Linked DNA regions of Macaca fascicularis. The protein of the gene in region 2 binds, or shares a complex with, the protein of the main gene of each other region. Links are inferred from orthologs where the notes say so. Each region holds a gene or a part of one and is shown on either strand. Other genes may lie near its edges.

Region 1 (4,171 bases), on a different chromosome or scaffold from region 2:
TTTGTTCAATAATTATCCACATTCATTTGAAAGAAAAGTTTCTTCTCATCTCAATATAAAGTTTGTTTGTATCAAAAGAAAACACCAAATTCAGGGTATAAAATAAACATCATCAGTGATTACAGCTCCAAGATACCAAAATACAACTAGTATCATTTGTTGCAAATGCAATGTGAATAGCATATGATAGAAAAAAGACATCTTCAACTATGAGATCTATCCATTTAAAAAATAGAAACTTGCAATTTAAAAAGATGCTGAAATACTATACATTTTATTAAAGTATGATTAAATCTCATATATAATTCTTATAACTTTAATATATAGTTAACATAAATAAACCTCCCACATATTTGTTATTCAGAATTCCTATAATAACTCACCCTATTCTTCTTAAGGTTAGAAAGTTCATCCACCACAATTTTTTGTTCTTTAATCTATTGAAATAAAGAAAAACTCCTTAAGCTAGATGTTTTCAAAGTATGTTCAATGAGAATCCCTTAAGGGGTTGTTTTAAAATTAGAGATGGGATAAGGGGCTATGATGTACTGGTTTTCCAAATGGGCAGTTCATGAATATACAGATTATCTTCAACAGCAGTCTGTGTGGGGGTCCAGTTGGGGAAAAGTTGGAGGAGAAAAAACAGTGATTAGACTTGCAAAATGTTAGGTAACCCATTAAGATCAGACAGGGGATTTGGTGTTCGTAACCAGCAATCATACCAAAGACTACAGTTACTCAACAAGGTTTATACCTTTTGTTAAAAATATATGATATACACCAGACCCAGCACGGTGGCTCATGCCTGTAATCCCAGCACTTCGGGAGGCCAAGGCAGGTGGATCACCTGAGGTTGGGAGTTCGAGACCAGCCTGACCAACATGGAGAAACCCCATCTCCACTAAAAATACAAAATTAGCCAAGCATAGTGTCGCATGCCTGTAATCCCAGCTACTCAGGAGGTTGAGGCAGGGGAATTGCTTGAACCTGGGAGGCAGAGGCTGCGGTGAGCCAAGATTGCGCCATTGCACTCTAGCCTGGGCAAGAAGAGCGAAACTCTATCTCAAAAAAGAAAAAAATATATATGTAAAAATATATATATATACACACACACATACATATATGATATACACCAAAAGGAATTCCAGTCTTTCAATTAAGCTGTGATTTAGATGGGGGGAAAAAAACAGCAAATTGAATAAGGGGTGGGTTACTTTTTTCAATATTTTCATGATTTTATGTACTAATCAGTGCAGTCAAACACATTCAAATCAAGCAATGCCTTATTTGGGGACAGTAAGACCTATCATGTTCCATCTTTGTATTTTTCCCTTTTTAGCTCAATGGCTAGCATGGAGCTGGCACTGTTGAACTGGTTTTCTTTTTTTTTCAAACAGGGTCTTGATCTGTTACCCAGGCTGGAGTGCAATGGCGAGGTGACGGCTCACTGCAGCCTCGATTTTCCCAGGCTCAGGTGATTCTCACATCTTAGCCTCCGAGTATCTGGGACTACCGGCCTGGGCCACAGTGCTGACCTGGGCTTTATTTATTTGTAGGGGAGGGCTCAACTAAGTGAAAACTAAGTTTCTTTTTAACTCTTTAACTATTTATTTTGTGAACACGACTAATTACATAGTATCACACGAGCCTCTAAAAGCAGCTTTTATAATATTTGTGCTACCTCACACACCTCAGGGATTTGTATCCACCAGTATGCGTAAGGGGCTTGCAATGGTGGTAATCAGAATGGACTGTGTGTCTTTTGAAAATTCACCCCCAATTCCCATGAGTGTGCACCTTTCTGTCTCCCCAGTTGGCAGAGCTGTGGTAATGAGGTTGAATTCCAAGGCCGAATTTGTAAACATTCTTTGAGACTTAACGTTTGTACAGGGCTTTCCCATTTTAGGAATGACAGGTGTACATTTCACTTTACTTCAAAGAAGGTAACTGATACAAAAAGATTAAAGAGACTTGCCCAGATGTCATTGCAAGTTTGGGACAGAACCAAAGTAGAATCTAGGACATGTAATACCTGAAGGGCTATAACCCTCCCCATCCCCATTTATCTTTAAAGGTTTTGTTTGTTTATGGCAGTTAAGGCTTATATTATATTGGCATCCTCCCTCCCCCTTTTTGGTATAACAGTGACAACCCAATGCGTGTTTTAGGACCATTGCTTTGGTTAACGGAGAAGCAGCAGCTAACAGGTGGATGAGGAGAGACCAGTTAGGAAGCCCTTGCGGGGGGGGAGGGGGGCGGGGGTCCCGATGGCAGATGACGGTGGCTTATTTGGGGTGGTAAGTGTTCACGGTGATAAAGGGACATATTTGAAATGAGTTTCAAAGGTAGAACTGATAGGCTTCCATGATGGGCGTCAAGGATGGATCCCAGGTTGCTGGCATGGTTAACCGGATGCAGAATATCTGCGATGGAACAGATTTGGGGTGGGCGGTATTTCCCAAAGTTTAAAAACACCCAACCAGAACTCCGCCCCGCTGCCACCTGGGTCGTGTCTCGGGGCAAATTTCAATATCTTCCTTTTCGCAACTGTTTTCAGAAAATAAAAGGACTAACTGTAGCTGTCAAATGCTAAGAATAAAAAGAGAAAAGTAGCAGGGCAAAGCCGAGTCCCGGGCAGGCCCCACGCTGCCCCCTGCGGACCAACTTTAGGGTCCTGTGGCGCCCAGTCCCAAGTCCAGGAGCCTTTCATTGCGTCTGACACTCACCTTGCTGCTAAGATCCTCCTTGTGTGGGGTCGAATTGTCGGTGGGGATCAGCACAGGGCTGTCCTCTGGGCGCGTCCCTCGGTTGGGCATTTCCACCCACCGCAAGAAACGCAGTATGCTCGGCCCTGAAGGAACCTCGAGCATTAGTCACCGCGCATGCGCGCTTCCAGCCTCGCGCACCCTTTCTTTTCCCGCGAGTTTTACCAACAGCGTCTGCGCGCTCACTTGAACGCATGCGCAGGCCGTGTCTGGCCTGGTGAGGAGTTTCGCGCCTGCGCGTGGCTGCTTAGGGCGTGAGTAAACAGTCTGGTTGCAAAATCTGAGGTTCGTGTACTGGCCTCTAGTGGTTGAGATGCAGAAACGCTCAGGTGGTTTCTTCATGACGTCTTATCTAGTATACTACGAGTTATGTGCGCCCTCCAGTGGTAAATGTAAAGAATAGCCGTGCAATAGAAATAGCTCTTAATATAATATGTATTATCTAGGGAAAGATGAAGTTGAGGAACATAGGAGATACTGTGTTGGCAATAGAACTATACAGACTTGGTAAAGTTTTGGTTAACTCGTGGTTAGGGTTGCCGGATAAAATACAGCATGAATTTCAGATGAATTCGTAGTTTTTTAGTATGTCTATGTCCCCTGCAATATTTGCAATATCTCACTTCCGTGGAAAAAAATGACTAAAACTTGGAAATAGGCAAAAGAGATTTATTTACTGGATGTTCTTTCAGTGCTGCTCTGAACTTGACTTTATTATATTGACTTGACTGGGCTGTTTTACAATTCTCTAGGGGCAAAGGTTAACTTTGGTAGAGATTTTGGTTTGGTAGAGATGCAAATAATTTTTTTGGTGTACCAGATACCAACACAGGTTATGATGTATTGTTCTGTAACACATTCGTCAGCTTTGTCTCTAACCCTGCAATTGTGTCCTAACATTTCTTTATTAATATATGCCTAGCTTCTCTAATATTCTGTATTGGTTTTAAAGTCTTATCGGTTCCCTCACTAACTAATGAGTTGAATAAAACTTTGACATGTATTTGTTTTATGTTCACATTAGAGACATGATTTTAGGTTTTTGAGAATTATACTATATTATTGGAAATCTTAAGGTTCCGCAGAGATGCCCAAGTGGATTTATGTGATGAATCAAACTGTCTCGCGACAGAAATGTATACATCATGGGTTGTTTAAGTCCAGGCATGTTTTTTATTTGCTCTTAGAGAAATCCGAAGTGGTTATATATTTTTCCTTCTTAATTGATTTTTAGAATTTTATTTTTGTTTCTTATTTGTATATTCCTGATAAACTATTCAGGTATAACTTATACATTACTGATGCATTGATAGCAGCAATGATTGGGAGTTTGGTTTTGTGGTCTAACCATTTGGTGGTATCTGTTGGATGATGGACGTCTAGTCTTTCTTGGTAGAGAGGTAGAT
Region 2 (3,260 bases):
TATAAAACAATTTTAGGACAAGGAAATGGCAGAACAACTTTATGGACAACATATAAACTTGGGAGGACTTATACACTACAAAGCATTACGTGCTGGGATTTTAAGTCAGTTTAAGCTACATTCAAGCAAATTCTAGGAAGACAGAGGCTGAAAAGTACCAATAGAGATGCCAGGGCTGCTGGCAAAGAGGGTAACCACATTTCATCCTGGGGCCTCAGGTTAGAGAACCGTGAATTCTTTTTCAATTGAACTGACATTCCTAGTAATACGCTATGTTGTAAATGCCCTTCCAAAATAATCATGCCAACCAAGATGAGGGAAAGTTAAGGGTTGTATATACAGGCAAGAAGTAGGTTTGAGGACATTTAGGATTTCACTTTCAAGAAAGAAAGAACATTGTGCCACAAAGAAGTTCCAAGTGCAAGAGTTTGAACCTGAGGGGGTAATACAGGTGGTGTGTGTGAAGGTGGAAGGGACTGTGGGGATATGACAGAAGCGCCTGGTCAGGAAACGGAGCCAGGTGTTTTTACATTTTATTAGCTACAGTATAGATGCTAGAGCTGCCTCATTCCCTCCCCTCCCCTCCCCCCACCAAGGGGTCAGGCCTTGCCAGGAGCCCCTGCCTTTGCCGCCTGGGCCCGCTGGAACTCCTGCTGCAGCTGAGCAAGGGTCTCCCTCTGTTGCTCTGACTGCCGCTCAAGATCCCGGAGCTGGGATTCATATCGCTTACTAAAGAGAGACAAGGGAGACAAGTAGAAAGGGAGAAATTAGTAGGACTTACTAAGGAGGGTGCTAAACGCAAGAAAGAGATAGGTGGAAAACTTGAAATTAGGGAAGGGAGAAGGGGGGTTAAAAGGGAAGGAAGGGGTTGGAGGAACTGGAGGACTAGGGGCCACTATGGAGAGCTGTTCTGCAATGGTTCAACACCTCTACTCCAATGATTCACTGCATCACAGGGTGCAGCACACAGTGGTGGAATAAAGACTCACATTTCAGCTGTGATATAGTCCAGCCTCTTCCCTACTGTGGCCCGAGCCTCCCCCAGCTCCTGTTTGACTAGCACCGGACCCAGAAGTTTAAAGACCACGTTGGACCCATCCAGCAGGGCCAGTTCCTGATGGAGGGATGGGACATACGTGATCAGAACCATGGCTAGTACAGGTCCCTCCTCGCCCCACAAATCCCAGTCCCTCACCTCTTTCACGATATTATTTTCTGTTAGTTGTGCTTCAAGTTTCTGCCTCCCCGACATGGATTTACTCAAGTCTGGGGATAAGAGGAAAGGCAAGATTAGAAACATCAATCCTAGTCAGGTGGATATGGATCTGAGGAAGCAGAAAAAGATGGGGGCAGCGGGTCAGTGAATAGGGAAGAGTACTGAAGCGGGAAAGTCTCTGCACGCAAGGGCCCAGATGGGGCAACAAACCTTATCTCGGTAATGGCTTTGGGTTGTGAGTGCATTGGGCGAGGCCATACCGACCCTGCTCCCTTACCCTTCTGTAGCTGTTGATATTTCTCCACTTCTCCCTGCAGCTTCTTCTGGATCAGCTCCGCCATGGCAGGGATGAAAGCCTACGGGGAGCGAGACAAGGGCGCTGCGTCTCACTCTCTGGAAGGTACCTGAGCTCCCTTTTCTGATCTCGCCTGCGGAAATGATAGCACTCTTGAGAGGCAGCCCTGAGGGGCACCGCCACCTCCCCCCCGTCCTGGGTATCGACTCCACCCCGTCCCCAGGATATGGTGGGCGAAACGCAAGACCGTAAGCCTCTCAACCGAAATCCCAACCTATTCACGTTCTGCTTTCAGTAGTAATAAACCCGGAAGTAAACGAGGAATGCCGGGAAAAGACTGCGCCGGAAGTTTCTTTCTGACCCTTGATGGGAAGTGTAGTTCTGACATGTTTAGCGAATGGAGTTCTGCTACAAAGACTGGACTCGGATATTTTTAGGCAAGATGGGGAAACTAACCCGGAAAAAGAAACCGCACCGCTACTTAGCCCCTGGTCCCGGGCCTGCCTTTCTTTTGTAAGTCACTCTTGCATAAGCTGCCGCTCCCGATAAGGTGCCAAGAGCTCTTCCGCCCCTCTAAGGAAAGCGTGCCCTCACTCAAGATGGCGCCTAGAGAGCTTCAGACCTGGTACGCTGCTGATTGGATGAAGGATAGAGGGCTTCCGGGAGTTTTCAAGCCGACTGTGGGGCAGCTGAGAGAAGTTTTGCACGTGGATCGCCGTTCGGATGGGCGAGATGGAGACAGCCCCCAAGCCGGGCAGGGATGTCCCGCCCAAGAAAGACAAACTTCAGACCAAGAGAAAGGTATCGGCCTCCCTGGGTGGGAAAGGAAGTTTTTTGCTGCGGGGTCGGGGGGGCGGGGCGTGGGTGCGGAGTATCAGAGTTCCTGATCTGCTTGTAGAAACCGCGGCGATACTGGGAGGAAGAGACTGTTCCGACCACAGACGGAGCCTCTCCAGGGCCTCCTTGTAACAAGAAGAATCGGGAGCTCCGTCCTCAGAGACCAAAAAATGCTCACATATTAAAGAAGTCTCGGATCTCTAAGCAGCCTCAGGTCCCGAAGAAACCCCGAGAGTGGAAGAACCCGGAGTCCCAGCGGAGCTTGTCCGGGGTGAACGTGGAACCTAATGGGTGGCGAGGCAGGGCGCCTTGTGCTTTGAAAGGGTTGGGGTCAATCCAAGGCTGTCTACTAACTGCGTTCTCCTTTCCCCTAGGCCCAAGATCCATTCCCAGGCCCCGCCCCCGTCCCTGTGGAGGTGGTCCAGAAGTTCTGTCGTATTGACAAATCCCGAAAGGTGAGGTCCAGCCGGAGAGTTGGGAAGTGTTGGAGGCAGGGAGTGTCTGAGTGAGTTGAATGGAGGCTGGGCTAGGTAGCTCTCCTGTGACCCCACTTATCCTATGGTTCTTCTGCCACTCCTCCCCACCAACAATGTTATAGCTACCACGTTCTAAAGCCAAAACTCGAAGCCGACTTGAGGTGGCTGAAGCTGAGGAAGAGGAAACAAGTATCAAAGCTGCTCGTTCTGAGCTGCTGCTTGCTGAGGAACCGGGGTGAGTGGGCCCTAATCTGGACCCCCAATCCTTGCCTTATAGGACTGTCTTTTCTCGTTTTTATGTTGGTACACTTGCTTCATATTGGGAAACTTTACTGCTATCCTAACCCTTGCTTTCAGGTTTCTGGAAGGGGAGGATGGGGAAGACACAGCAAAGATATGCCAGGCTGACATTGTGGAGGCTGTGGACATTGCAAGT

What was found. Proteins that work in one complex are often made in the same cells at the same time.
Region 1: PFDN6 (region 2) and ASDURF share a complex: the UniProt entries of both Homo sapiens proteins name them as parts of the PAQosome complex. The link is inferred for Macaca fascicularis from reciprocal best matches to the Homo sapiens genes PFDN6 and ASDURF.

What each region holds. Positions count from the first base shown.
Region 1 is NC_088386.1:85,308,187-85,312,357, reverse strand, and holds the start of ASDURF (ASDURF protein), read right to left. Parts: upstream 2,876-4,171; 5' UTR 2,871-2,875; coding exon 2,727-2,870; intron 438-2,726; coding exon 384-437; intron 1-383.
Region 2 is NC_088378.1:138,412,962-138,416,221, forward strand, and holds PFDN6 (prefoldin subunit 6), read right to left. Parts: upstream 1,818-3,260; 5' UTR 1,786-1,817; exon of another isoform or gene 1,645-1,785; 5' UTR 1,558-1,644; coding exon 1,494-1,557; intron 1,267-1,493; coding exon 1,196-1,266; intron 1,115-1,195; coding exon 990-1,114; intron 730-989; coding exon 600-729; 3' UTR 517-599; downstream 1-516. Other genes in the region: WDR46 (WD repeat-containing protein 46), read left to right, coding at 2,235-2,312, 2,410-2,619, 2,723-2,803, 2,947-3,059, 3,182-3,260. UniProt on the Homo sapiens protein: Binds specifically to cytosolic chaperonin (c-CPN) and transfers target proteins to it. Binds to nascent polypeptide chain and promotes folding in an environment in which there are many competing pathways for nonnative proteins.